4 linked regions of the Tamandua tetradactyla genome follow. The main gene of each other region encodes a partner of the protein of the gene in region 2 in a complex. Links are inferred from orthologs where the notes say so. Each region holds a gene or a part of one and is shown on either strand. Other genes may lie near its edges.

What was found.
Region 1: the proteins of CNOT1 (region 2) and CNOT9 are in contact, whole or in part, in a crystal structure (PDB 4CRU), measured with the Homo sapiens proteins. The link is inferred for Tamandua tetradactyla from reciprocal best matches to the Homo sapiens genes CNOT1 and CNOT9. Residues at the interface, in NP_057368.3 of Homo sapiens: Ile1415, Ala1416, Thr1418, Thr1419, Gln1422, Ile1423, Lys1426, Asp1427, Phe1428, Met1444, Asn1447, Leu1448, Gly1451, Met1452, Met1454, Ile1455, Arg1458, Glu1459, Tyr1548, Gln1549, Arg1552, Met1553, Pro1554, Gln1556, Ile1557, Leu1559, Val1564, Lys1567, Gln1568, Leu1569; in NP_005435.1 of Homo sapiens: Arg19, Glu20, Tyr23, Ile26, Asn27, Ser30, Ser31, Pro32, Arg35, Pro54, Met55, Trp57, His58, Ser59, Phe60, Gly61, Ile63, Ala64, Ala65, Leu67, Gln68, Val71, Asn72, Tyr74, Pro75, Ser76, Ile77, Asn78, Pro79, Thr81.
Region 3: the proteins of CNOT1 (region 2) and NANOS1 are in contact, whole or in part, in a crystal structure (PDB 4CQO), measured with the Homo sapiens proteins. The link is inferred for Tamandua tetradactyla from reciprocal best matches to the Homo sapiens genes CNOT1 and NANOS1. Residues at the interface, in NP_057368.3 of Homo sapiens: Ile2327, Ile2330, Lys2331, Trp2338, Glu2350, Phe2353, Gln2354, Val2356, Ala2357, Met2361; in NP_955631.1 of Homo sapiens: Phe40, Ser41, Ser42, Trp43, Tyr46, Leu47, Leu49, Thr51.
Region 4: the proteins of CNOT1 (region 2) and ZFP36 are in contact, whole or in part, in a crystal structure (PDB 4J8S), measured with the Homo sapiens proteins. The link is inferred for Tamandua tetradactyla from reciprocal best matches to the Homo sapiens genes CNOT1 and ZFP36. Residues at the interface, in NP_057368.3 of Homo sapiens: Gln821, Glu835, Asp845, Ala848, Asn849, Phe852, Gln853, Tyr856, Asn894, Glu897, Glu898, Phe901, Gln904, Tyr905, Pro906, Glu909; in NP_003398.3 of Homo sapiens: Arg314, Arg315, Leu316, Pro317, Ile318, Phe319, Arg321, Ile322, Ser323, Val324, Ser325.

What each region holds. Positions count from the first base shown.
Region 1 is NC_135329.1:194,077,616-194,085,418, reverse strand, and holds the start of CNOT9 (CCR4-NOT transcription complex subunit 9), read right to left. Parts: upstream 3,012-7,803; 5' UTR 2,512-3,011; coding exon 2,488-2,511; exon of another isoform or gene 2,293-2,487; intron 1-2,292. UniProt on the Homo sapiens protein: Component of the CCR4-NOT complex which is one of the major cellular mRNA deadenylases and is linked to various cellular processes including bulk mRNA degradation, miRNA-mediated repression, translational repression during translational initiation and general transcription regulation.
Region 2 is NC_135342.1:52,306,445-52,314,160, reverse strand, and holds the start of CNOT1 (CCR4-NOT transcription complex subunit 1), read left to right. Parts: upstream 1-4,701; 5' UTR 4,702-5,014; exon of another isoform or gene 5,015-5,124; intron 5,125-5,391; exon of another isoform or gene 5,392-5,486; intron 5,487-7,716.
Region 3 is NC_135339.1:81,420,154-81,426,627, forward strand, and holds NANOS1 (nanos homolog 1), read left to right. Parts: upstream 1-4,912; coding exon 4,913-5,755; 3' UTR 5,756-5,969; downstream 5,970-6,474. UniProt on the Homo sapiens protein: May act as a translational repressor which regulates translation of specific mRNAs by forming a complex with PUM2 that associates with the 3'-UTR of mRNA targets. Capable of interfering with the proadhesive and anti-invasive functions of E-cadherin.
Region 4 is NC_135342.1:24,566,762-24,574,052, forward strand, and holds ZFP36 (mRNA decay activator protein ZFP36), read right to left. Parts: upstream 3,002-7,291; 5' UTR 2,922-3,001; coding exon 2,898-2,921; intron 2,117-2,897; coding exon 1,160-2,116; 3' UTR 460-1,159; downstream 1-459. UniProt on the Homo sapiens protein: Zinc-finger RNA-binding protein that destabilizes several cytoplasmic AU-rich element (ARE)-containing mRNA transcripts by promoting their poly(A) tail removal or deadenylation, and hence provide a mechanism for attenuating protein synthesis.

The sequences.
Region 1 (7,803 bases), on a different chromosome or scaffold from region 2:
CATTAGGAAACAACGGAAAATTAAAGGAATTGAAAAGGTATTGTGTCAGTTTGAAACTATTATGTACCCCAGAAAAGACATGTTTTAATCCTGATCCAATCTTGTGGGGGCAACCATTTCTTTTCTCTTTTTTTTTGGCACGGGAAGGCACAGCCATTTCTTTTAATTTCAATTCAAAATTGCAGGGCAGAAACTTTTGATTAGCTTATCTCCACGGAGATGTGACGTGCCCATTTGTGGGTGTGACCTTTGGATTAGATGAAGACATGACTCCACCCATTCAAGATGGGTCTTATTAGTTTAATATAGTCTTTTAATAGGGGAAACATCTTTGAGAAATCTCATATGCAGATGCTTGGAGGACAGTTGCTTCAGAGCCGAAAGAGAAATGCTCATTTGGAGATGCTTGGAGTTCTGACAGAGCGAGAGAGAGCAGGTGCCTAGACATGGGCAGAACCCAACAGCCATACCATGTACCTTCCCACGAGGGGCTAGAGGTGACCAGAGTTGTGTCCCAGAGGAGCTAAACGAAGGCCCATAGATGCTTAGAGAGGAAACCCATTGGCATCAGAAGCTGGAAGCAATGGAATGGAACAAGGACCAGTAGAAGCCAGTCACATGCTTTTCCATGTGATGACATCAGCTTTTCTTGAACCAAGGTATCCTTTCCTGGGTGCCTTAGTTTAGACATTTTTCTGGCCTCAGAACTGTAAATCTGTAGCAAAGTAAATTCCCTTCGTAAAAGCCTTTCCATTTCTGGTACATTGCATCTGGCAGCTTTAGCAACCTGATTCAGTATACAGTTTAGGGGACACAGGGAAGAGTGGCTTGATATCAGAAGTACAAAACCTGGAGAAGATATAATCAGATTTTGAGAGCTGGATAAGTCAACCTTTGAATTTCCCTCAGTTTAAACTGCCTCTCCCCTACCAGCAACTTTACCTTGTGACTGGGTAGGAAAATCGTAATCATCTAATTTGGGAGATATAAAAATTACCTCTCTACTTTGAATAGATATAAACACTTAGAAACATGGTAATGGGAGGCAGATACGTCTGCCTGTGGAAACGGCAATGAGACCATAAAGATCAAATCTCAGAAAGCAATATTTTCTGCAACCCAGCCATATTCAGCTCACTTTTTTTCCCTCAAATTTAAAACTAAGGCAATTTTGGGTGCCCAATGTCATTTGCTTGGTAATGCAATTCCAGTACATTACTATCTCCTTAAATCATTCATCTTGGGGAAAAGGATGTAGCAAATGGTCCCTCTTTTTCCCATTATGGCTATGTGCTGTCAGTGGTCATCTCCCTCATCAATATTCCTTCAACCAATGAAATATTTGAATCCTTACTTTGTACCAGGAGCTGTCCTGGCACGGGGGCAATAACTAACACAGGACTCTATAATCCCTGTCCTCAAGGGGAAGACAGACAAAAAAAAAAAAAGTAAACGAATACAATAATTACAAATTGGGTTCAGTGCATGAAGAGTATTCTATCTAATAAAGCTCCAGAATACAAAATTACTGTGAATAGGGTGGTCAGGGAGGACCACTGGTAGGTATATTTAGGTGAAATCTGAGGGATGAGGAGGCTGTTATACCCACACACTGTACATGGGAGAGAGAAACAGGTAAAAGCATTCCAGGCACAGAGACCAGAAAGTGCACAGTTGAGTGGAAAAGCGCATGAAGAAGGGATAGAACGGTGGCCAGTGTAGCTGGAGCTTACTTATAAAGTGACATGAAGTTATAAACGTGGGTAAGGACTGTATCATACAGGGCCTTGTAGGGCATGGTAGGAAGTCTGGATTTCCTCTAAGCGCAATGGGAAGTCAGAGTAGTACTTCACACAGGTGAACTACATGATCCATATTTCTTGTTTATCACGCTGGTGAATGGTGAAGCCTGGCTACTTTACGGTGTTTGAACGAGAAACTTTCTCACTGTCAGAAAAGCTTTAAATGCAGAGAACCAAAAGTCAGATGCAATAATTATTCACGTTTCCATGTCTCATATTTTCCACCTGTAAAACAAGTCGTTTAAGCTAGAAACCATTTCCTTCGCGCTGCGATGTGCCTAGGCGGTGAGTTCCGAGAGGACAGGCCGCATCAGGTTTGCCATCGCAGTGCCCTCATCCCTGCCGGCGCCCGAACACAACTGGCGCCTTGAAACTGTCGGTCAGCGCAGTGAATCAATGAACGGCTTGCCCCAGCCGCGAGGAAGGCGCTCCGGGAACCGGACCAGGCCCCGGGGCGGGAAAAGAACGCGATGCCCGGCACTAGAGACCAGGAAAGCCAGTCGGCTGGGAAGGTGAGGGCCGGCCCTACCACAGCCAAGGCGCCTCGAGCAGGGGAACCGGAGCCTCGCGGGTGGAGGGCGGAAGGAGCTGGACTGAAGGCCCGATACAGAGAGCTAGGAAAGGAAGCCGAAAAGTGGGGCTGAAGAGGGACTCTGGGCCCAGGTCAGTCGAAACAGTCACTCACCGCAGCAGTCGCCAGGCTGTGCATGTTGGGAGCCGCCGACGCTCTCCTCCCACCACCAGACGCGACCGACTCGCGTCTCCGTCTCAGCGCCGCTGCCACCGAAGATGATGAGCTGCCGCAACCGCCATCCGCCAACTGTTCGCTCCGCCCCTTCGCAGCCCTATGACCTCTCACCCCTGAACCCGCCCACACAACCTCTTCCCGCCTCCTGGCCTCTGGAGGAGTTAATCCTAGACTATGCTCTTTGCCCTTTAAGACTCAAGGCGGAAAGGACATCCACGACCTGCGACTCCCTGCATCCTCCGACATCTAGTAGGTAACCCCAGAAAGGCGTGAACTCTATTCCTATTCCGGAGGCCCGTGAAGGGCGGGAAAAACCGGACTCTCTCGGGAGGACAATTAGTGCGCATGCCCAACTAGAACTGAGTAGGAGGGAAAGGTTGGGAGGGCGAAAGCGGGTGAAATAGAAAGTGCTCATGCGTACTACTGTCACGGCAGGGGCGGGACTACCTGGGCTCAGCATCTCTTGGTGTTGGGGGGAGGGGGGAGAGGACGTACGAGGGGCGGAGCTTTCAAGCTTCCGCGCACGCGCCAAGCCTAGTCGCGTCGAGTGTGCGTGCGTGCGTGCGTGTTTGCGTACAGTCACAGTTCCCGCCATCAGCTGCTTTCCCTGGCTAGGGGGGAGCGAGCGACCTAACTCCTCCGTGTTGGTGTCCCTTCTTTCCTTGCCCCCGCCCCTCCCCCTCCACGCGGATTCTGTGCTGCCGGCGGCCTGTTCTGGGGCTCCGGACCCGAAGGCACAGGTAAGGCGCCCCAGGCGAGCTTCTTAACTGAGCCGTTTCCTTCCCCCTCCCCCTTACGTGTTCCGCCCACTCGGCGTTCTCTCTTCTGGAGTTCGCCCCGCTTTTCTCAGTCAGCCCCCAACCCTTCGACGCTCTCCCAAGGCGTCACAGGTACTCCACTTGGCTCTTTCCTCCAGGCTTTCCCTTTCTTATGTACTGGTATTTATTGTCAGTCTTACCCTCCGCAACCTGAAACTGGCCCCCTTACACTGGGGTTGTCGTCATCCGGCACTTGCCCCTTAAGGCCTGCCATCTCTTCAGGTGACTTCCGTTGCTGCACATCCCATCAGGTCTTGGAGGTGAAACTCACTCAGTCTCTGGGCCAGTCTTCACTTTCTTTCCCCTCTTAACCATCAGTCGCTAAAAATCATGAATTGTAGTTTTGTCTTGCATTTTATTGGTCCCTGTCTCTAAAGCCATCAAATCAGGTTGTCACGTTACCTATTTTTATTTTAGATCATGATCTGTGGAAGGAAATGGTAGTCGACCACAGAGTCCTATGTTCTGGAGAATTGGCCAACAGTGGTTTTGTGGTATTCTCTTCAAAATTTCACCTCTTGTAAACGCCTTTTTTGGGTGATAATTTATGACGGGCCTCTAACTGGAATCTAAGAGGCAGTTGGATATAGTGTTGGAGCTCATCAGAGTTCTAGACTGGAAATATGTATCTCCAGTAATGATGTTTATATATGATATGTGTTTTTGTCATTTGCCATATTCGTAGTAATTGAAGTTATGAATGTGGATCCAGTTGCCCAAAGAAAATATGGAAATGGAAGGGATTTAGCTCATAGCGTTAAGAAATTGGTAATATTTAATAACTGGATATAGGAGGATGAGTGTTGGAGAAGAGATGAAATAAGTCAATAGTGTTGAATTGAGGCCTGGAAAACCTGTGACATGGAAGTAATCTGTGATCTTTTTTTTGAACTTTTCATTTCTTTTTTTTTAATTAACTTATTTTTTAAACATAACATACAAACACGAACAATCTTACCGTATGATCATTTCCTTCTTGATATATAATCAATAACTTACAATATCATCACACATTGTGTATTCATCATGATCATTTCTTAGAACATTTGCATCGATTCATAAAAAGAACACAGAAAAAAATTCATACATACTATACCCTTTACCCCTCCCTTTCATTGATCACTAGCATTTCAATCTACTAAATTTATTTTAACATTTATTCCCCCATTATTTATTTATTTTTTATCCCTATGTTTTACTCATCTGCCCGTAAAGTAGATAAAAGAAGCATCTGACACAAGGTTTTCACAATTGCACAGTCACACTGCAAAAGCTATATCGTTATACAATCATCTTCAAGAAACATGGCTACTGGAACCCAGCTCTACATTTTCAGGCAGTTCCCTCCAGCCTCTCTGTTATGCCTTAGCTAAAAAGGGAATATCTATTTAATGCATAAGAATAACTTCCAAGATAACCTCTCTACTCTGTTTGGAATCTCTCAGCCATTGACTCTTTATTTTGTCTTATTTCTCTCTTCCCCCTTTTGGTAGCGAAGGTTTTCTCAGTCCCCTGATCCTGATCCCAGCTTATTCTAGGATTTCTGTTCCACATTGCCAGAAAGGTCCATACCCCTGGGAGTCATGTCCCACATAGAGAGCAGAGGACAGTGAGTTTGCTTGTTGTTTTGGCTGAGCTGAGAGAGGCCACATTTGAGTAACAAAAGAGGTTCTCTGGGGGTGACTCTTAAGGCCTAATTTTAAGTAGGCTTAAGCTTATCTTTTGTGGAGTTTAGTTTCATATGAACAAACCCGAAGATTGAAGGCATGGCCTATTACTTTGGTTGTCCCCATTGCTTTTGAGAATATCAGGAATTCGCCACATGGGAAAGTTGAATTTTCCCCCTTTCTCGCCATTCCCACAAGGGTTTGCAAATACTTTTTTATTCATTGTTCATATCACTCTGGGGTAATCCATGACCTTAGCAGGAGATGTTTAATGTGTAAAATGGAATATTTGGGTTCAGTCTTAGGTCCTTTTATTCTTATCTTCCTCCCTAAGCTTTAAATTCTGTCTCTATATTGATCACTGAAGGATTTTTATTTCCGGCCCATTCCTTTTGTGTATATGTGTGTGTGTGTGCGTGCGTGTGCGTGTGCATGTGCATGTGCACTCCAGATCTAAATAGCCAACTTCCTGCTTAACATCTCAACTTGATTTTTTTTCCTTAGGAATTTCAGATATAATGTGTAAAATCGAAAATTTTGGTTTCTCTTCACTTTTAATTCTTTCTTCTCCATTTCCCCATTTCATTAAATGGCATATCCATTTATCCAGCAACATTAGCTAGAAACTTGAATCATTCATAGCTTCCCTCTCATCCCATTTATCTATTCCCTCTCCAAGTTCTGTCTTTTCACATGTTTACATATGTGTGTGTGTATGTATATGTGTATGTGTGTGGTATATGTATATTTTGAACTTGTCTGTCTGCATCTTCACTATCACTTTTCTTATTCAAGCCACAATGTTTCACCTGGGCTTAATCAGTTCCCAGTATTCTTATTTGTAACACGGGAATAATAAGAGTTCCCACTTTATTGGATGGTTATGGAGATTAAATGATATAACTGTGGTAAGCACTTCGCACACAGTAAATGCTGATTGTTATTGTAATTGCTATAAGCTGAACAGTGTCAGTATGCTTTCTGGTTGCCCTGTCCATTCTTGCTCCTTTCCACTCTCCTCTCCAAACCCAAACAAAATCACATTACTTTTCCATTCAGCATGATGTTTTCTGATCACTAAGTGCTTATTACATTTAGAAAAAAAGTTTTAATTTTCGTGACTCTGCATAACATGGTTCTTGCCTGCATATAACAGCATCTTGCAACATTCTCCTTTCCCTCACCAAGCTTCAGCCTTGCTGCTGCTTTTCAGTTGCCCCAAGTTCTTTCCCATCGCAGCGCCTTTGCATGTGCTATTCTGTTTACCTGGAATGTTCTAACACCACTCTCCATCCCCTCAAATTCATTCTTCAGTTTTCTGCTTACGTGGTACTTTCTCATAGAATCCTTCTCTTTATGCTCCTTACCCTGTGCCCCTAAATCTCAAATTAGATACCCTGTTATAATCTCTTTTCATGCCCTTCATATCATTTATCAGAACTTGTAATTATATGTTTGTTTCTATGATTAAAGTCTGTCTCTTACTTGAATATAAGCTAGGGACGATTTTATTTGTATTTCTTAATAATTTGTTGAAAATAAATAAATTAGTATTTGCTCTGAGAACTAATCATGTCTTTTGGAAGAGCTAGCTTACTGATATACTTGTCAACTCATGACAACAATTTTTTCATTTTGCAAAATAGATTAGAAGACACAAGAGACAAAAGCTTGAACAGCTTTGTATCACTTTAGTCGTTCTTATATCATAAAATCATTCAGATTTTAGACTTATAATTGGACTTAAATTTATCTAGGCCAACTTCCCTCACTGTCAGCCAGACCACTAATTTTATCTCTGTGTTATTTGTTGTATGGATCTTTTTAGGAAAGAAAGGCCTCAAAAATCAGGACAGTGATTTATATATTTGAACAACAGGGTAACTAAGACACTTGAAGATGAGGTTTCCATGTAGATAAAACAGTATTCCATTTATAAGTCAGTTGGTGATGGATGTGGGAGGAAATATTAAATTTTAATAATTGTTGTTTGTGTAGGATAGGATTTGTGTTTAGAAATAGGAAATGTGTGAATGACAAGCACAGAGAGGCATTTGGATTTATTCTGTAGGTAGTGATGAGTTATTTAAAATGTTTGTGAGGAAATTAATATTGATAGAAAAAATTTAGCACCTACTAAGTGTTTGGTATTTTGTTGGAATACAAAAAGATGTGACTCCCCCTACTCTTTACCCTCCTCCCCCCATTCTGGGAGAGTGTTAAGGAGACAATTAGTCCATAATGAATTGGGAAGATATCAAAAGAGTAGTTCTTTTAGAATGATTATTGTAATATAAGTGATTCGTTGGGTGGAAAAATCCTGAGAGAATGGAAACTGGAAATCAATTGCTGCAGTTCATTGATGAGGATAGAATATGGTAATTTTTAAAGTATGGGCATTAGACCTAGTTTTATCTCTTACTCTGTGATCATAGATAAATTACTTAATCTCTAAGCCTTTCGTTCTTATCTGTAAAACAGAAAGCAGTAATCCTTATCTTTTGAGATTACTGTGAAAATTAATTGAGAATGCACTGTGCTTAGTAAATTGCATAATAAATATTGGGTGATCTGATGGCAAAGTGATGAGTTTCTGAATTAGGGTAGTAGCTATGAAAAGGCTGGATTCTTGGGTTTTGGATACTAAGCTATCTTGTATGAGTGGTGATAGGCAGACAAAAGTAGAGAAGTCTGGGGGCCTCTTTATAAGGGCATAGACTTTCATCTTCACATTTGTTTCTCTACAACAGTGCCTTCAGATTGGTGTA
Region 2 (7,716 bases):
TTTTTAATCCATATGTTTTACTTGTCCATCAATAAGGTAGACAAAAGGAGCATCAGTCACAAGGCTCTCACAACCACACAATCACACTGTGACAGCCATATCATCATACAATTATCTTCATGAAACATGGCTACCAGAGCACAGCTCCACATTTTCAGGCAGTTCCCTCCAGCCTCTCCATTACATCCTTTTTGTTTTTAAATACCAAAAAGCACCAAACACAAACATTCTTAACTTTTGACCTTCCATTCTACATATATAATCAGTAATTCACAATATCATCACATAGTTGCATATTCATCATCATCATCATTTCTTGGAACATTTGCATCTATTCAGAAAAAGAAATGAAAAGAAAACAGAAAAAAATTCATATATGCCATACCTCTTAACCCTCCCTTTCATTGACCACTAGCATTTCAAACTAAATTTATTTTAACATTTGTTCCCCCTATTATTTATTTTCATTCCATATGTTCTACTTGTCTGTTGACAAGGTAGATAAAAGGAGCATCAGACACAAGGTTTTCACAATCACACAGTCACATTGTGAAAGCTGTATCATTATATAACCATCTTCAAGAAACATGGCTACTGGAACACAGCTCTACATTTTCAGGCAGCCTCTCTGTTACACCTTAACTAAACAGGTAATATCTATTTAATGTGTAAGAATAATCTCCAGGATAACCTCTCAACTCTGTTTGGAATTTCTCAGCCACTGACACTTTATTTTGTCTCATTTCACTCTTCCTCCTTTTGGTAGAGAAGATTTTCTCAATCCCTTGATGCTGAGTCTCAGCTCATTCTAGGGTTTCTGTCCCACGTTGCCAGGAAGGTCCACACCCCTGGGAGTCATGTTCCACATAGTGGGGGGGCAGTGAGTTTGCTTGCTGTGTCGGTCCAAGAGAGGCCAAATCTGAGCAACAAAAGAGGTTCTCCTGGGGGTGACTCTTAGGCCTAATTTTAAGTAGGCTTAGCCTATTCTTTGCAGGATTAAGTTTCATATGAACAAACCTCAAAATTGGAGGCTCGTCCTATTGCTTCGGCTGTCCCCACTGCCTGTGAGAATATCAAGAATTCTCCACTGGGGGAAGTTGAATTTTCCCCCTTTCTCACCATTCCCCCTAGGGAACTCAGCAAATACTTCCCTATTCACTGTTCGAATCGCTCTGGGATTTATCTGGGCATCAATCTGGACAAACCTACAAAATCTCATGCCCTACGCAAGGTTCCATGTAATATGGTGTTCAATTAAGCTGTCCACATAAGTTATATTAGGAAATGCGCGAGTCAAACTATAAATTTTGTACCAAAGAAACATTTTTTGGTTGTCTCACACATAGGTTAAAGTTTTCAAATATTAATTACCATCTATTTTCAACACCCTGCATTACTGACATTCCTTTGTTCTTCCTCATGCAGAAACATTTTTAAATTTGCACATTTAGTCACTATCATTATACACTCTAGGCATTCCTAGATTATACCACCTCAGTCTTTATTGTCTATCTTTCCTTCTGATTTTATTTGGCACCCAGAATTCTTGACACATACTTGATGGACTCTGATCTCCAGCCTATCGGGGGAATTCTGTAGGTCCTGTGACTGAATACACAGTGCACTTGTGGAGGGTGAAATCCCAAGAGTGGCTTTGTGCAGCTCTGGGAGAGGGGCTGGCTGTGGCTCAAGGGTCTGGAGCAGCCTAAATTTAAAATAGCAAATCATTTTCCTCTCAAGGATGGGCTGAAGTGGGGAAAGGCACCTCAACTTTATCTCAGCCGATCTTTATTTCAGGAGCTCTAGGTTTGAGACCTGAAAGAGTTGTAGAATTACACAGTTGATCTTAGTTGACCTCTATCAGTCTCAATTTCTACCTCTTTTAAATTACACAAATACAACATGAATACTTTCTTTTGTAAAAAGTTTAAATAATACAGTAATACACAGGATAAAAAGCAAACATTCCCTTTACCATTCCTCATTACCATTCCTTTCCCCAGGGATAAAGGGATATCCGTTGGGTAATGTAGCTTTCTAAACCTTTTAATATATTTAGTTCTATGTAAATACAGGAATATATAGTTATTTTCTTCCATACAAATGGTAACACTGATTTTATTACCATTCCCTTTCCCACCCAATCTTCACTTTTTAAATTTAACAAGAAATCTTGGTAATCATTCCATATCACTAGCTATAAGTTTACCTTTTTTTAATTAAAAAATGTTTTTTTAATTGTGAAAAATAACATATATCAAAAAACCCATAAATTTCAAAGCACAGTGCACACATTAGTAACAGAACAGATTTCAGAGTTTGGTATGTGCTCTAGTTTGCTAGCTGCCGGAATGCAATATACCAGAAATGGAATGGCTTTTAACAAGGGGAATTTAATAAGTTGCTAGTTTACAGTTCTAAGGCCGAGTGAATGTCCCAGTTAAAGCAAGTCTGTAGAAATGTTCCATCAAAGGCATCCAGGGAAAGATACCTTGGTTCAAGAAGGCTGATGAAATTCAGGGTCTCTCTCTCTCAAGTGAGAAGGCACATGGTGAACACAGTGAGGATTTCTCTCTCATCTGGAAGGGCACATGGCCAACACAGCATCACCTGCTAGCTTCTTCTCCTGGCTTCCTGTCTCATAATGCTCCCCAGGAGGCATTTTCCTTCTTCATCTCCAAAGGTCGCTGGCTGGTGGACTCTGCTTCTCGTGGCTATGTTGTTCTGCTTTGATCGCTCTGAATCTCTTTCATTCTCCAAAGTGTTTCCTCTTTTGTAGGACTTCACAAACTAATCAAGACCCACCCAAATGAGTGGAGACATGCCTCTATCTAATCCAGTTTAACCACCATTCTTGATTAAATCACACCCCCAGGGGATGATCTAATCGCAGTTTCAAACATACAGTACTGAATAGAAATTAGAAGAAACGGCTACTGTTACAAAATGGGATTAGGATTAAAACATGGCTTTTCTAGGGTACAGACATCATTTCAAACCAGCACAGTATGGGTTACAATTCCACAATTCTAGGTGTTTCCTTCTGGCTGCTCCAAGATGCTGGAGACTAAAAGAAATATCAATATAATGATTCAGCAATCATATTCATTTGTTAAATCCTATCTTGGACTCTGTTATAACTTCATCTTCTCCTTTGATCTTTCTCCCAATATTTAGGGGTACTTGGGCTATGTCCATTCTAATTTTTTCATGTTGGAAAGGGCTGTCAATAATATGGTATAGGGGAATGGAACTAGTCGATGCACTGGAGAGGCTGGCCACTCTGAATTTCAGGACTTATCCAGCCTAGGAACCTTCTGGAGGTTGTAGGTTTCTGGAAAGTAATCACAGTGCATGGAACCTTTGTAGAATCTCAGATAAATCCCTAGGTATTCTTAAGGGTTGGCAGAAATGGTTTTGATTGGAGTTTGGCAAACCATGATAAACAGCAATATCTAGTTGAAGCTTGGCCTCCAGAGTAGCCTTCTGCCTCTATCTGAACTCTCTCAGCCACTGATACCTTATTTGTTACAATTCTTTTCCCCCTTTTGGTCAGCAAGGCATTGTCGATCCCATAGTGCTAGGGTTAGACTTATTCCTGGGAGTCATATCCCACGTTGCCAGGGAGACTTTCACCCCTGGATGTCATATCCCACATAGTGGGGAGGGTAACAATTTCACTTGCAGAGTTGGGCTTAGAAAGAGAGAGGCCACATCTGAGCAACAAAAGGGATCCTCTGGAAGTAACTCTTAGGTATAACTAACTATAGGTAGGCTAACCTTCTCTGCTGTATAAATCAGCTTCACAAGAGCAAGGCTCAAGCTCAAGGGCTTGGTCTGTTGACTTGGGACAGTTTGGGACAGTATCAGTGTTTTCCTTGGTGGTAAAGTTTAATAGTTCCATATTTTCTCTCCAATCCCTCAAGGGACTTTCCCAGTACTTTTTAAATATACGCTCAATATACTCTGGGATGTATCTGGGCATTATATTAAGCTATACAGAATTACAGGCCTTCATTCCCATTCTGAGGTTCCTGTGTTTGGGTTGTTTAAGTGATCTATCCAGACTGGTTGAGTTAGATTATGTGCTACAGAAAACTTAGGTTCTGGACAAAATAAAACTAATTTTTTTGGTCTCAAAGAGTATAGCTGTACCTTTCTTTTTAACAACTTCATTGTGTTCCAGTACATGGCAGTACAATACATTTATTTACCATTCCCCTATTGTTTTCAATCTTTCTGCTCTTTATAAATAATTCTTCAATCATCTTTGTGCACACGAATAAAACTGGGGAATAAATCCCTAGACATGGGATCAATTACTGGGTCAGCGGGTCTGTGCATTTTTAGGTTTGATAAACTGGGCCAAAATACTATCTATACAGATTTTGTCAATTTTTATCACCAGTAGAAAAAGAACTGTCCCTTTGACTTTTTTCCCCAGTGTAAAAGGATAGAAGTGACCTTTTTGATAGCGGTTCTAGGGCTTAAATCAGGAAGAGAACTTTAGCTTCCTAATTCTCCATAAGGCGTCCCTAAATCTAGGTGAAAGAAGTTCCCTTGACTGAAGCGGGACAACCTATGACCAGGTGAAGGTCCTGGAAGACTACATTCCCCAGTATGCACTGCTTCTCCCCAGGCGCTGCCAGTGACGAAAGTGGACGCGTTAGATTTGCGTCAGGAACGGGGGGCGGAGGAAACTACACATCCCAGGGCGCACAGCGCCACCACACTAGTCCTAACCTGGCTTGCTTCCCGGTTGTTGGCGGTCCTCGCCTTACTCCACAAGGCGAGGAAAGGGACAGGATCGGAGGAGGATGTTTAGGCTTGAAAGTCCTGTAGTCGACCGGACTGTGACACTACGAAAAAGGAAGGAAAGTGGAGGAATGCTGTCTAATGCCGAACTCAAAATTGTTACCGCGTAGAGTGGCGAGGGGCTGTGGACCACCTTTCCTTACTTATTGTTTCTCGGAAGCAATGCCAAGGTCCCATTGGTCGAAGACCTCGAGGGCAGGTGGGACGTCCGTGGACCCTGAAATCGAAGTTATTTGTATCTCTCCATTGGTCCTCGCTTCGCGCGCAGGCGCGAGAACGCTAACTCCAGTCCCTGGGGACTGGTGAGCGGCAATTGGTCAAAACCCGAGAAGTAGGAGTCCGGATTGGTAGTTGCTAGCAGGAGCTTGGTTTCTTCCTTGACTTCTGCAAGTGATGGGGCTTGATTGGTTTAAATCCGCGGGCACCTGTCGGTGATTGGGCGGGCACTATGGGCTGGGTATGATCATTGGCTGGTGGTCGGGCCATCCCTCCACGGGCGGGCAACGAATGGTGAAATGGGAACGGGGAGGGGAAAGGCCGCGACGTGAGCGCGCGACCTCCGGCGCCATTTTGTAGAGAAACAAGCGGAGTTAACCGAAGAGGGGTCGAGGAAAGCCGGAGTCGGGGGACCCAGGAGTTTCCTGTGTCCAGCGCCGCCGGAGCTGCCTAAGGTGAGGTGGGTTTGGGTCAGGGGCCGCCATAGGCGGGCCATGTCAGCTACGGAACGCGAGAGCTTGGGTGAACGCACAGGGGGTGGTCCTAGGGCCATTGGAAGCGTTTCCCAGAGCTTCGAGGAGCGAGGGGCAGCCGGGACGGGAAACTGGCCAGGCGAGGGAGGGCGGGCTCTCTCCACCGCTCGCGGCACCTTCAGGTAGTGAAAAGAAGCGGCCGTCCCGAAAGCTCTGGCAACCGGATGGCAGAGCGCGGGCTGCGACCCGGAGTGGTCCCCCGGCCCGGGCCTGGAGGTTCTGAGGGCGGCGGTGGCGGCAACTGTTCGGTCGGCCTGGGCCGCGCTTTGCTCGAGCTGCATCCATCTCGGACTCCACCAGCCTTCCGCAACTGCTTCTTCCTCTCCAGGCTCTCAGATGGGTGTAGTGGGCATTGGCCCCCGAGGCCTAACTCCATGGGCAGGGGGGACAGTGTTTGGAGTTGTTACTGACTCCCAGTTCTTGTCCAAGTACCGGGTGCTGCCGGTCTTCCCCTAGCCCCCAGCACGTTGTCAAATCCCCATGTTTCGGGTGTCTGTAGGTGGGAGGGGCGAGCGGGAGGGAGCGAGCACTTCCTTATTACTTCTGGTCACAGGTTTACTTCCACTCGCGCGCCCGTGCGGTCAGACTTTGTCCGACGTCGACCCCCCACCTACCCGCCCGGTGTCTCCCTTAGCAGCGGTCTTCATCCATGGGGAGTCCCCCCTAGTGAGCTGAACACTTGCAGGCCTCAGTGCTGGTGAGACAGTTGCTTTAGATCTTGCAGGGGTCACTTAAGGCCGAACACACTGGAAATATCCTTTTCCAGTGCTCAAACAGATGTGACCCCCACGAGGCGTAAGCTTTGTTGGTTGAAACACGCACGCAACTGGTTGATAATGTGTGTTTGAAAATGTGTTTAAAGTAAACTTTATTAACAGAGAAGTAAATTATTGCCCCTGAAGTCACTCGGTCAGATGTCACATTTCTTAGGACTTTAATTCAAGTCTGTTTTCTTCCTGAACATTCTGTACCAATATTTTATTTCCCTGCCTATTTCCTTACAATTCAATTGTCTGTGACGACTTGGGGATTTCTTTAACAGTCGTAATTGAGTGAGTTTGAGTATTTGTTTTTGAAAGAGATTCTGAACGTCTCGTTCAGACGTTCGATAGGGATAGTGATACATGGATAAAAAAATGATGAGAAAGGCAGTAAAAATTCTGAAAGTATGTCAAACAGATTAAGAACAAATTTGTTTTTGTTAAGTATTTAGGTTGGAAAGTGATTTGTGTGAGGTTCCTTCTCTTCCAAAGATAGGCAGTCCTGCATTTTAGATATTAATAAGGTGTATGGTAACAGTTTAAATAGTCTTGTTTTAGGACTCTGCAAATTGTTACCTTGTCTAAGGGAAAAATGAATTGATGATACTTTGAAATGGTGGCATGTGGATAAAACTTGTTCGGAAAGTTGGAAAATTTGTCCCATTTCAACAAGAGAGGGTCACAAGTCATTTAGTGGAAATTCAAGTCTAGAATCAAGGCACAAAGACTTGACCATTACATTATGAACTGAAAATATTTGCCTTTCTTATCTAAGTCTGTGATCTTAGAAGTTTTTAAGGCAAGGTTTTGTGACATTGTGTAACAGAAGTGAAATACTCTTCCTTGGTTTCTAAGGCAGTTGGATGGATGCCTGGTTTAGTGTTTTTTTTCTTTCTGGTCTCTAAATTTCTACTGGAGGTTTAAATCCTGGTCTCCCTAACCTGTACTGTGACATCCTCTTGCCTTTGCGTTAAGTTGTTAAAAACAAAACTCTCTTCAAAAAGTGCTTTAAAGACTAATGTCTGGTGAATGCATAATTCTATGATTATACTAAGAGCCATTGCTTGTACACTTTGGGTGGATTGTATGGTGTGTAAATAAAATTGTTAAAAAAGAAAGACTTCTTAAAATTTCCTTATATGTTGCTTTTCCAAGTGTGCTGTTTTTGGTTAAATTCTGTTTCAGTTACAAGAAGCTTTTTTGTTAATGAGCTTAAATTTATGAACTTGATTCTTTATTTAAATCATTCTATGAGGTAAAAAATCTTTGGCACCCATTGCCACCACAGAAGGGAATGGGTCCACAGTAATTCTAATTGAATGTATTTTAAGATGGTGATTTTTTTTGTACAGTATTTATGTTTCTTGAATTAACAAAAATAGTAATCTGCC
Region 3 (6,474 bases), on a different chromosome or scaffold from region 2:
AAGCCCCTGGCGCTGATGGTTACTACTGCTTTCAGCTGGGAGACTTTAGCCCAAGGCAGTATGGACAAGAGACACAGCAACTGTTCTCAATTCTCTGTATTTCCTTCCAGCCCTGGTCCGTACACTCGCGAAATTCTGACATGTTCATCACCTCCATCTGGCCAGAGTACTATTTCCTAACTCTTTTTGATAGAATTACTGAACTGTGTTTTCCCATACTGCTACATGTTTCAATTAGAACAGATCCAGATGCAAGTAAAAGAACGCCCAACTCACATGGCCTGGAACAACCAAGATGTAATTCTCATGAAACAAGTCTCGGGTCATTAATAAAAATGTCGTCAAAGCTGTTTGGGGTTTTTTCCCTCTTTTTTTTTTGATCGTCTATCACCAATGTACCAGCTTCTGGTCCATAAGACTTGGCACCCCAGGGCTCAGGGCTCCTGCAGCTCCAGAACCTGCTCAGGGAGGAAGAAGATGGAAATACGGATTCTCTCCCCCACCCCTTTTTTGTTTTTTAAAGAAGGGAGTCAACTCCCTCCCAGATTCTTCCTAACAGTTACGTTTCAACAGCCACATTGGGTCACCAGCCCTCTCCTAACCCAATGGAGACTAAAGGGCAATGGGATGCCCCAGCCTGGCTTAGCCCTGTCCTCATGTATCCTCCGAGGCTGAGGCAGGGTCTCAGCCAGCACAAAAGGGAACAAAATAAACAAGAAGGAGAGAGCAGCTGCTGGTTGGCAACTCTGATCATTAATTTGATGTCAACAAGGCTGGGTCTTGGAACCCAGTTCTTTAATCAAATACTAATCTAGACATTGCTGGGATGGTAGTTTGTAGACATGGTTATCTTTAAGTAAAGGATATTTTAAGTAAAGGAGATCACCCTTGAAAACAGGGTGGGCAGTGGGGGCTCAGACTTGCCTCCTACAATCAGCTGAAGACCTTAAGAGACAAACAGGTTTCTCAGAGAAAAGGAAACTGCCTCAAGTCTGCGGTATCAAGAGCGAACCCTGCTGTACGCCATGGGCTATAGTTAAGAGAACATGCATAAAAATGTCACACCCACTGTCACAAATGTACCACATTAATACAAGGTGTGAATAACAGGGTGGTATATAGGAACTCTGTATTTTGTGCATGATTTTTCTGTAAACCTACAACTTCTTTAATAAAAAATAAACTGCAGTATTAAATCTTCCCTGGTTTCCAGCCTTCCCTACAGACACTGGACTTAGCAGTCCCCACGACCGTGGGTCACCTCTTTAAATCATCATACACATGCAAACACACATCCATCCAATTGGTTCTCTTTCTCCGAAGAAGCCTGCCTGACACAGCAACCAGATGTGCTGCCACTTTGCACAATGTGCCACCTTGACTGATCAGAGGAAGAAACTGAGGCCCAGAAAGGCAAAGTTCTTCATCCAAGACCACAGGTGACTTTGGAGAAGCACTAGGACACAAACCCAGGCCACCTGTCCAAGTTACCCTACTCCCCCACCTGGCTTCTCGACTGGGGAAGACTTGAAGTGTCCCCAATAGGCAAGAGCCCCATTCCGCTACAGAAAAATGCAAGCCCTCTGCAGAAGAGCGCCTCCCGCGTGCCATGCCTGACTCCCAGCCCCAGGCCCAGAGAGCCAAAGCACTTCCTGCCCTTACAAAGGCTGGGCAGGCGGGTCTGCGGGAACCCAGAGCGGGACAAACCACATCTCTGTAGCTGCCTGGACACATGCCAAGCTGCCTCATTCCCCAGGACTGACCTCATGTTTCTGAAGAGCCTCAAGACGCCTGAGGTCTGTGTTGCCTCTCATGGTTCAGTTCTGCTGCCAACAAAGGAAACAGCCCAGGCGGGGGATTGGAAGCCGCACAGAGAGGTGGGAACGCAGGGTTCCATCAGCCCTCCCCACCATTACCCAGGCCCTGCCGGAGCCCACTGCCAGTGCCAGCCAGGCCCCACTCCAGGAGACACTGAACAACACCTCCGACTTCTGATTTGAGACCTACCACAATCTGTCTTCCCAGCCTCTGCGAGTTTGAGAATGCCCCCTTGGAGAAACGTTCACACTTTGGTTATTTCCATCTGTTTCATTCCAGACTCCTGGAAAGTGAACAAAAGGCACTCAGACTTCATCTAAGGTGCTAAGAACATCTCTGAAGTCAGTTCTACCACCTCAAAGAGAGCTGGAATGCTCACAGTTGGGCTGAGGCTTCTGCTTGGGGACAAAAGTAACTTTATTTAGCCCTGAAGCTGAACCAGAGGTCCACTGTGGCCCTCCAATGCTCACACACAACAAAGGCTCCTGGTGTTGCCAAGGCCCAGCACATACCCCCAAACCAAAGGCTTTGTCCACTTTGCCTCCATTTGCAGACATTCCTTCCATTTCCTGGTGGGCAAGGTGAGCAACCTAGGAAAACAGTACGTGGCCATGCCCAGTTCCCTTTGATTCTCCCAGGGTTTCTCCGGACAACTGATGTTCCCCGAGCCCAGGCCACAGCTTCAAATCAAGGCATTTGTTCTAACTCATGTTTCACTTAAAAGTTTTTATTCCCTTTGTGAAACCACAAGGGCTGCAAGCCACGTTGTGGAGGAAAGCAGGCCTCAGCTTATTTGCCATCCTCTCTTTGGCCTGGCCGAGTGAGCAGACACAGCAGCTGGCAATGTTAAACTCTCTTTGTAGTTTTTCTTCGGATTGGTGACTTCCCCTTTTTAGAGTTTACCTTGAAAGTATGCAGGCCCCAGGGCTGCCTGGACAGAGTGGAATTTTCCATTTATAGACTAATAGTCTTTATACCACAGTGTAGGCTGGAGTTCTCATGGTGAGCTGGGAGTTCGGTGTCAGCAAACTTGCCAGGCTTTCTGCAGGAGCCCCACGGCATCGGGCTTTTATTTATTTTTGGTGGGAGAGAGGGAGGAAATAAAGGAATGGCTTTTTAACTTGAGTGCCAACACAAACTTGAAAAAGGAACTGGGTTGGCCGGGGCAGAACATCATGCCCGCTTTCAGGAATTAGGGGGTAGGAGGTGAGAAAGAGACAAAAACACACCTTCTACTCCTAACACAGACAGGCAGCCAGAACAGGCATCCCTTTATTGCCCTAAATCCCTTCCTGTCCACCCAGCCCCTGGATTGCTCCCAGAGGGCCAGAGCCCAAGCCAGGGGCATGCAGGCCCATCCCATTTGTCCTCGTCCTTCCCAGCTTCCCCTGTCTTCTGCATTTGGTTCCTGCCGAAGCATGTGCAAACTTATAGTCTGAAATACCTCGGGGTCTGTGGTATGGTAGGAAGAGTGAGGCCAAGAGTTCTGGGGCCTGGGTCCCAGTCCTAGCTGTCACATATTCACTGTCGCCTTAAATTGGAAGTCACTTCTTGTCTCTGGCTCTCATTTTCCCCATCTTATAAAGTAAAAACTGATGCTAAATGATCCCAAGGATTCTGTCCTCTGCTGGCATTGATTCATTCATGCAAATATTAACGGGCCACTCTTCTCCAAGGCAGGCACTAGGTTCTGGGACCCCCTGGGAGCTGTTCCACACCTCCTGGGCAGAGTCATACCCTCGAGCCTGCCTCCTCCTTTCAGTACCGCAGCACGTCCTGCGTGGGGAGGAAAGCCCGGCCAGGCCGTCCGCCCAGTCTCCAGCAGAGGCATTGCCGGGTCCCAAAGAACCCTAGAGGAGCTTTCCTGTACCTAAAACCATTCTCACTTTTCATTTAAAAAATAACGTTGCCTCCAGCCCAGGGAGGGGAGCGACCACCTCTCCCCCCCCCCCCCCTCCAATCAAAACCCTCTCTAAACCTTTAGTTTCCATTGTTTTCACCAAAAAAAGTTTCATTCATTTCGAAGTATTACATTATGACGTCAATAATATGTCTTCCAAATTGCACCAACACCACATTTCCCACAGCCCCCTGGGAATGTGGGTTGAAACACACGCGCGCACACCAATCGCTGCCCTGGGCCCTGGGGCTGTAGGTTTCCTAGCTGACGGCCAGCCGGTCTGAAAACCTACTGGAAGTCTGCTGCGCGGGGTGGGAACGTCCCGCGTCCCTCCACTGCTTACTCTACCTGCTACAGCAAGAACCGTAACCGCTCAGAGCCTGAGAGATTCATGTGCGGGTTTCACCCTGGGTGAATGCGCTCCGAGGCACTGTGCAAGCCGAAGTTACTAGTTCGTCGGGCGGCTGGGCGGTGAGAACTGCATCCTTAGATCGCACCCTGTCCTGCCTCCCTACTGCTTTCCCTACTGACGCCGGTGCTTCAGTGCACTAAGTGGGGGTTGCGTGAGCCCTGGGGCATCCCCCCCCATCGCCACCCCATCCCGGTCCTTGGCGAGCCTCACCACCAGGCGGAGGAAGACCCAGGCCTGGGCACCTGTTCCAAGCCCCGGGCACATCACTCAGGCGCAGGCGGGTCGCGGCAGCCGCCCCACCCTTCGCCTTCTTGCAGCTTTTTCCCTTCCCTCCCAGCAGCGGGGACAGTGCACGCCCCCTCCCAGGCTTCACCAATCAACGTCCGGAGCGGCGCCCGTGGCGCAGGGGTGCTCAGCTCAGTAGCCAATTAGCGCCGGGGCCCGAGGCGGCGCCTCGCCCGCCCTCTCCTACAAGGAAAGCCGCCCCGCAGCTGGCAGAGCTGGCGCAGCGCGTGGAGCGCGGGAGCCGCGCGGACACAGCAGAGCGCGCACCCGCCCCCGCTCCGCCTGCGTCCAGGGCGCGGGCGAGGTGGCACGGGCGCTGGAAACGCAGGGGGCAGGGCCGCGGTGGCGGCGAGCCCGGGGGGCGGGGAAGACCCGGACCCGATAAAAGGCGGCGCGCGGCCCCACCCCGCGGCAGGCCGGCAGCAGGCTCGGCGCGTCTCTTCCGTCCGGCCCGCGCCGGTGGCGGGGAGGCGGTTCGCGCGGCTCGCAGCCCGCCCATGGAGGCTTTCCCCTGGGCGCCCCATTCGCCCCGCCGCGGCCGCGCCCCCGCCCCCGCCCCCCAGTCCATGGCGCTTGTCCCCAGCGCCCGCTACGTGGGTGCTGCGGGCCCAGCGCATCCGCAGCCCTTCAGCTCGTGGAACGACTACCTGGGGCTCGCGACGCTCATCACCAAGGCGGTGGACGGCGCTCGCGGAGGTGCCTCTCCACCCTCCTCCCCCTCCTCGTCTTGCTGCTCTCCTCACGCTGGGGCTGGGCCCGAGGCCCTGGGACCGACGCTGGGGGCACCCGATTACGACGACGACGACGACAGCGACGAGCCGGGGCCCCGGAGTCGCTACCCGGGGGGCGCGTTGGAGTTGCGGGCACTGGAGCTGTGCGCGGGCCCTGCCGAGGCCGGGCTGCTGGAGGAGCGCTTCGCCGAGCTGAGCCCGTTCGCGGGCCGCGCCGCCGCGGTGCTGCTGGGCTGCGCGCCTGCCGCCGCTGTCACCGAGACGGCGCCGCCGCGCGATGAGCGAGCCCCCGCGTGGGCGGTGGAGCCCAGGCTGCACGCAGCCTCAGGGGCAGCCGCTGCCCGGCTGCTCAAGCCCGAGCTGCAGGTGTGCGTGTTCTGCCGAAACAACAAGGAGGCGGTGGCGCTCTACACCACCCACATCCTGAAGGGACCCGACGGGCGAGTGCTATGCCCCGTGCTGCGCCGCTACACGTGCCCCCTGTGCGGTGCCAGCGGCGACAACGCGCATACCATCAAGTACTGCCCGCTCTCCAAAGTGCCGCCGCCGGCCGCGCGCCCCCCGCCTCGCAGCGCCAGGGACGGCCTGCCAGGCAAGAAGCTGCGCTGAGAACCTAGCTGCAGCCCGTTGGCTCTAGACGCCACCAGGGTCACCCCCTACCCAATCTCCTACTTTTGGTCAGCGTGCCCTCTCTCCCTCGTAGTTGGGGAGCGTGAAACTCAACAGTTGGCGCAACTTGAGGTGTCGTCGTAGCGGTTTTTTTTCGATAGTTGACCGTGTGTGGAGTACTTTACTGGAAGAACAATTGAGACTAGATGCTTAATTCTTGACTTTGTGTATCTTCACAGTTTCTAATTTGGGCTCACCCAGAATGCCGAAGGCTGGATATATGGCAGTGTCGAGGCGCCGTTTATTTACAGTATACGTCGACCTATTTTAGATGCACATCAGTATGAAATTCTCAATCTAATCTTGGATGTTTCGCTTTATGAATAGAGGCACTTTATTAGGTCTAGAATATTTTTTTAAAAGCCTCTGAGCTTAAAACTGGCGATTTTATGACGTGTTAGCAGAGTGACTATTTTATTGTTTGAAGCAAGTAATACTTAGTTGTCCTTAATCAGTTATTTTAATTCCAAGGTGAAGCAAGCCCCTCCTAGTAGCATCACCGTTATAACGAGTGAAGGTTTAGTAAACTTTCCAGTATTCGTTTGGGTGGATATTCCCTCCTTGTGGCTTGTTTCCGTGCTAGCTGGAGGTGTAAAATGCAGTCGGTAGAGAAGTAGCAGGTAGAATGCAACTCCTTATCCATTTCTGTATCAGATCTT
Region 4 (7,291 bases), about 28 Mb from region 2:
AAACTCCCCGCTGTCGCGAGACCCCGGGACGCCCGGGCCCCGCGTTTCCGGGATGGCCCCGTAACCCCCACTGCGCTCGCCCGCCCCCGCCCTGGGCTCGCGCTCCGGTACATTCCGTCCTCCCCACTCCGCCCCTCCTTCACCCCTCGGTCCCCGGGGACTGAAACATCCCGTCCCCTCCCGCAAGTTGGGTCGAGAGCCTGACAGGCCGGTAGCGCCAGCCCACGCCCAGGGAACAGGCTTTCCGGGTTCTACCCGTGTGATCTCACCTGGCCCCGCCCTCTCAGGTGAGCGGCCGAGCCCGGTGACATCATTTCCTGCCAGGTAAGCGCCTCGGGGCTCTCAGCTCCGGGAAGGTTTGGAGCTATCAGTTGACTCTACCCCGCTTCAAAAAAGGGTTACACTGTCCTTCCCACTTCTCTTAAACCAGTTTAGACGGCGGAAAAGCCAGGGTTCCAGTTTACACGCCCATTCCTTTTATTTAAAAATTCCAAAAGGCACAAAAATAGACTTTTTAGGTAACAATATATATATATATTACTTAATATAGCATTTTTATAACAATAATTATTCCATCGTTTCCAATATTAGAAAAAGAAGAAAAAATACATGGGAAGCAGACGACCCAATATATATAAATACTATAAAATCTATTAGAATAAATAAAGTCGTCATAAATAAAGGGCCCATTGGCTTGGGGGTGGGTGGGTTTGGCAACAGCTCTGGCTACTTGCTTTTGGAGGGAAATTTGAGCACCAGGATTCCCCCTCAGGGGAGGCTCCAGTCATCACCAGCTGCTGGAACCTCAGAGTCTAGGAAAAATTGGGAGTGGGTAGTGGGGGTCTATTAGTCACAGCACATGATTCCAGGAGGCGAGATGTGGGCAGGGAAAAGGTTTGCTACATCTTGTTTTAAAGGACCCCAAAAAAACCCTCCACCCCCAACACCAGGAACACTGTCAGAGCTTGCACACTGGGGACCTGCCCTAGTGTGGGGTCAGGGAAGTGGGTTAATGCATTTTGGAAGGTGGGAGGAGGGCTGCTTGATTAAATTAAGGGCCCCCCAGGTCCCCACAGCCCCTGGGCCCATGTGGAGCCCACAGTATGGAGGAGATGGCCCCCCTTTAAGATCCAGCTGATCTGTACTCGGAAAACATTTGTCACTCAGAAACAGAGATGCGATTGAAGATGGGGAGTCGGCGGGGGACCGCAGGTGGTTGGGGTGGTCCAAAAACCCCTGCCTCGAAGACAGGTGAGTCAGAGCCCCCCAGGCTGCTACCGCTGCTGGCATATTCATCAGGGTCCGAGCCCAGGGAGTGTGCAGAGGGGCTCCGAGCCAGGCCACCCAAGGGCCCCCAGAGGCTGTTGCTGGGAGTGGCCCTCCGGCAGGAGGGGCAACAGGCTGGGGTGGGGTCCTTCCGGGGCATGGGGGTCCCAGGGGCGGCAGAGAAGGCAGAGGGTGAGAGGGGAAGGTCCCCAGGGGGTGGTGGCGGGGAACTGGAAGGCGAGAAGGAGCATGAGGACAGAGATGGGCCCGGCAGGCCTGTTGGTGGTGGTGAGGCCCTGCGGCCAGAAGGCAGGCCTGAGAAGCTGATGCTCTGGCGTAGCATGTGCGGCTGGCCAGGGGTGGCCAGGTCCTCATTGGGGTTGTGGATGAAGTGGCAGCGGGAACCATAGGGGCAGCGGCCCTGGAGGTAGAACTTGTGGCAGAGTTCCGTCTTGTACTTGGGGTGGCGACTGGCCTGGCGCAGCTCACCCAGGCCATGGGCAAACTGGCACTTAGCCCCATATCGGCAGCGCCCGCTCTCAGAGAAGGTCCGACACAGCTCAGTCTTGTAGCGGGACGAAGTGGCCGGGGTTGCAGTAGGTGAGGTGGGTGAAGGCGACAGTTCAGGGCCTGGGCGGGGAGCCAAAGGTGCAAAGCCTGGGGGTGGGGGCACCCAGCTGAAAGCGCGGCCCTCCACCAGGCTGGTGGAGCGGCTGGGCAGGCGAGGGGCGACCTCGGCTGGGCTAGAATCCGATGAGCTCAGGCTCCAGGGTCCTGAAGTGGCCCAGCCCAGGCTGGACTCCGTGCCTCCGCGGGTAGATGTCAGGTCAGGGCTCAGCGACAGGATGCTCTGCCCGGAAAGGGGAGGAGGGGGTTAAGACACCGAAAATGTAGGGTGACGCCCTGGCCCCGCCGCAGGGCATTTCAAGAGCTTGCCAGCCCGGTTTGTGGGCTCCCGGCCTGAGCACGATCGACCAGCAGAAACCCTTCAGTTCCATAACCAAATCAGGGAAACCGATTTGGAGGTTTAATGTTTAGCCATGGCTGAAGCCTACCCGAGGAACTTAGGGGTCCCGACTCTCCGATCCAGGCTAGAGCCCGGCTGGATAGAGATGGGGTTCCAAAGTTGGGGCACACCACTGCCCCCCGATCTGGCCCACGCATCCGGGTTCTTCAGTTTCACAACTGGAATATTTGGGCAAAGTTAACTCCGGAGCCCGGATCTCTTTGATTTGGGAGTTCTCTGACGGGTCAGGGAGTGAGGGAACATAAGCCGCTTCCCCCCACCCTCCGAGACTTCAGCCCTTGCAATGCCTCCCCGCAAACCGCACCCTCAGCAACTACTAGGTGTACGCCAGGTGTGGGAGTCACTTCCGCCCCTAGACAGCCCTAGCCTGACAAAAGTCTCCCAACGTTCCATCGCCACCCTTGTTTGGACCGAGACCCGGAGTCGTGGGTTCCGTTTTCGCCTCCAGAGAATCACACTGGTGTAAAGAGAGAGGCGGGGGCCCCGGGCCGGGTTGTGCGGCGCTAAGAAGCCCCAGTTTGAGAGGGCGGCCAGAGACTCGAAGTTTGCGGCGCCAGCGAACCGAGCGTGCGGAACCCGGGGGTGCCGGCTAGCCGGGGCTCACCTCGTAGATGGCGGCGAGATCCATGGCGGCGCGGGCGGCCTGTCGGCTGCGGAGTCGGCCGGAATTGGCAGCGCTGGAGTCGCAGGCTGCAGCCCGGCCCGAGAGCCGGCTTCTTAAAGAAATGGGGGCGGGGCCAGCGGGGGCGGGGCGCAGGGCGGGGCTGTGGGGGCGGAACCACAGGGGCGCTTCCCGGACTAGCACCCCCCGCGCTCCCCGGCCGACCCTGGACCGGTCCCCTTCCCCCCGGCCCCCAGCTACCACGCGCGTCTGAACGCGCAGTCGCGGGCCATGGGGATTGTCTGTCCAGGTTTCAGGGCTGGGGTTTGAGGCGCGGGGAAGGCCGGGTGGGGGGCGTGGAGGCGGAGGCATGGGCAGAGGCCGGGAGGCCGCGCGCGAGAGAAAGGACGGACAGACACGGGCCGGGAGACACACGGAGAGGGAAAGAGACAGAGTTACGGGGAGACACAGAAGGAGGGACACACAGGAAGAGGCATACCTAGAGAGGGAGAGACTGGGTAAAGAGGACAGGTGACAGAGACAATCTCAGACTGACAAATTCACAAATTCAGAGCCAGAAGCGGGACGGAAGGGTCAAAGAAAAAGGGGGGGGGGGGGAAACAAACAGAGGAACAGACACCCACAGAGGGACAGAAACATGGAGGATCAAAACAGGTCTGGAGAAGAAACCCAAGTGGCCGAGATCCGAAGTCCGGGACGGCCCTCTCGACCCCCGGCTGTGGGGTGGGCCCAGGATACCTGGTGCGGCTGGCTGGCCAGGGCCTCCTTTCCCAGTTCTCAGGGTCCCTGTAACCCCTCGCCTTAAGCCGACAGTGGCCTTTTTGGATGCCTGCCTTTGGACTGGGCACTGTCCAAAGCGCTTTACATACTCAATCATTATCGCCACTCGAGAGGTATTATGCCGGTTTACACATGAGGAAACTGGGCCTAGAGAAGTTCAATTACTCACCTAGTTCCCTAGCTAGTAAATAGCAGTGCCTCATACTAGGGCCTTAAATTATGTGAAGAAATTTGCCCTCTTGAGAAAACGCTTAAGGCTGGAAAGGGTAAGATCTTTCATTTTGGTGGAGTTGGAAGAAATGGGTCATTCCCCAACTGAGGGTTGGTTGGGACTGTTCTGTGCGTGCCTGAGTGAAAACCCAATCTTAAGATTTGGGAAGAAAACCTTTAAAGGGTTTTTGGGGATACGACTGCTCTGAGCGAAAATATGGGGGATGAAATCCTTGTCACCGAGCACCACCTGTAATGATGGAAAGTTCAGTCTTGCAAGCTGCGGGTGCAGGCGTGTGGCAAGGTGGGAGACATGCGGCCAGGCTCCACGCAGACTCTCCTCCCGCGAGCAGCGGGGGAATCCCTGAGCGGCGCTTTCTGCGCGGGGCCGCGGGGCCTTCCCGGGCCGGTCTCGTGAGCTGGGCGGCCACAGGCGGCCCTGGCACGGTTGCGGCCTCCCGCTCGTCGGTGACTCACTAGCAGGGGGCGGGGGAGAGGGGGCTTCCTGGAAGCCGTGACGGGGAGGCCCGGCCCGGACGCCGGGGTTCTGCTCCTGTAACCAGGGATCTTGTACCCTGTAAACAGAGCGTCTAGGACGCCGGGAAAGGGGGGGACGGGGGTGCCTGGGACTCGCTTTCAGGCCCGGCTCCAAATCCCGCTGCCGCTGGCAGGGCTAATGCGGGAAAAGTGGGTCCTGGCGTCCCCGGAGCCCGGATCGGCTCTGGCTGCGATCCTGGAGGAAGGATTCCAGTTTCGATTCCCGGGAGACAGGGCGCATTTCCCACCCCTGAGTCAGGTTGACCCCCCCCACCCCTCCCCCACCTGCTGAGTCATCGGCCTGAAGGCCAGGACGCCCGGGATATGGCCACGCATGAAGAGGTTGGAGGGGGCCCCTGGTCCGGACTTGGACCGACCGCCCAAAACACTGAAGTGCAGGCCCCAGGAGTCCGGCCCTCAGTCCCTCCTGGCTCAAATCCAGGGGTCCGGGTCCTCAAGCCACCTCCTCACTCAGACCCGAGAATCCGAACTCCCAGACTTCTATCGGACCCTAGTCTAAGAGGACCCCCAGACCCCTCTGTCAGACCGAAAATTTCAAGTCCTCAATTCCCTCCTCCCGCAGACCTAGAGGATGGGCTCCCATCCCCCACCCCAACCCCCGCCCCTACGGCCTGGGGCGTCCGGGCCCGGGAGGAAGTTCAAGGGAGGACTCCTCCCGGCTCCCCACGTAGCCAGCGGGAAAATCCGCGGCCCTAGCAGCGGCCGGGAATCCCCTCAGGAATGATGTTGGGGAAGGGGATGGCCGGGGTCCCCCGCCAGGGTGCGGGGGTGGGGTAGCGACAGGTCCTGGGTGAGAGGGGGAGGGGGCAAAGGGCGGAAACCAGAGAGGCTAAAAATACTGCGAGCACTTCCGGCTAGGGGGTGGGGAGCGGAGAGCAGTTTCCAGAAAAACAAGCGGGGACGGGAAACGCGGGGGTGTGAGAGCTGGGGCAAGCGTGCTGGGGGCTGTGTACTTGCAGCGCTTGTGTCTGGCCCGTGCGTGTGCCTGGCGTGACTGCGTGGGAGCCGGGTGTGACCGAGGGTGGGGCTGGCTGTGTGCGATTGCGTGGGCAGGTGTGGGACAACCTGTGAACATGTAGGAAGTTGTGTGAGTAGTGGGTGCACTGCAGGTGCAGGGTGTGTTCCCTGGCATGACTGGGTGAGAGTTCTGGTGTGTTTGGGTATACAGTTGGGGAAGTAGGTGTGCAACATGACTGTCTAGTTTTATGTGTGAGGGCTGCATGTATCCAGTCCTGCATGACATGACTGTGTGTGAATGGATGTGTAAAACTGCCTGTGTCTGTGTGATTGACTAGGCCATGTGTTTTTTTAACCATCACATCTGTGTAGCTCTGTACCACTCTGGAGTCTGAAGTGATTGTGTGTGTAACTCCTTGAAGGTGCCTGGATGAGAGTATGACTGTATGTGCCCTCTCGTGCATTTGAGGGTGCCCTGAACCTTGTATAACTATGTGTACAACTGTGTGTGTACGCCATTTGGGGATCTGGGCTGTGTGAGGGTATGACTGAAGGTCTGAATAAAAACAACTTTGAAATTCAATGTCTAAGTATCTGTGTGAGCAAGCCCCCATAGCTCAGTGTGTGTGATAATCAGGTGTGTGAATAGTGGCCGCTTGCATCTGTTCCCTTCTCTATAGGTGTCTGTGATTGTGCATGCATAACATGGTAGCACAGCGTCTGCATTCTGGATGCAGTTCCTCTGTGGCCCAGTCACAAGGCAGTGTGAAACTGATGAACTTTGTTTCCTGACGTCCACAACATGCGTGACTGGGAGGATGGCTGGTCATGCCCCCCTCTATACTCCTGTTCCTGTCCGCCTCTGTGGGCAGAGCAGATATCACACCCACACCTGAGAAGCCAGAGGCCAGATCTGTGCTTGGCCTTATCTGTCCCCTATGACTCTGCATTTGATAGTGTTGTTCTGAGGGCAGGACTGAGTCATGCCATGATGGGCAAAGTTGAGATGGGGCGAGAGATAGCGGGTTAAGTGGTGGTTAGAGGGTTATTTGTGTGTTTATGCGTTTGGGTTGTTCCACTGGAGAGTTTGTTTGTGGGAATGCCACTGGGTCAGGGTCCCTGGGAGCATTGGATGCAGTTCCTCTGTGGCCCAGTCACATGGTTGTCTTCTGCGGAGGAGTGGGGGGCCTTGGGTATCCCTACTGTCTGTTCTTTCCTGCAGTGTGGTTATACATCTGATGTACACTCCCTCCTCAGAGTGCATGGTTTCTCATCAAGCTGCAACAGTCTCCGAGTCCAATGGCTTAGTAAGCACCAAGTCCTCACCAAAGGCCTCTGTGATCTGCCTTGACTTTCTCTCCTCTCCTTTTCCAGTCCCCTCACTGAAGTCCACGATTCAATGTTCCATAAACATACCAGCACATCCCTACTTTCCTGCCTCCAGGCCTTAGCACTTAATTTCCCCCGCTCCCCCCCAATGCTCTTGTCTGATGTTCACGACTTATTTTCTCTTCTTTTTCAAATCTTTGTTCTGACATCACCTTACAGAAGCTTTTCTTGACCTCCATCGAGGATTTTAAAAAAATATTTAAAATGTCCTTATCTATTTAAAACATAATACCAAGAAAATATATGTGGCATCTATTTATAGACCATGATAATAGATACCCAACCTCATCTCAAACTTTTTCAGTAGGCAGTTTTCCATATCCAAGTCTCGTTATTTCTTGCTAGATTTATTCCCAAGTACCAACATTTTTGCTGTTACAAATTTCCACTTCTGATCTCACTTCTCTGTTCTATTTCTCTCCTTTAAACTTCTTTTTGATGTACTATGTTTTACTTTACCATGTTTATTTTCTCTCCCTAGA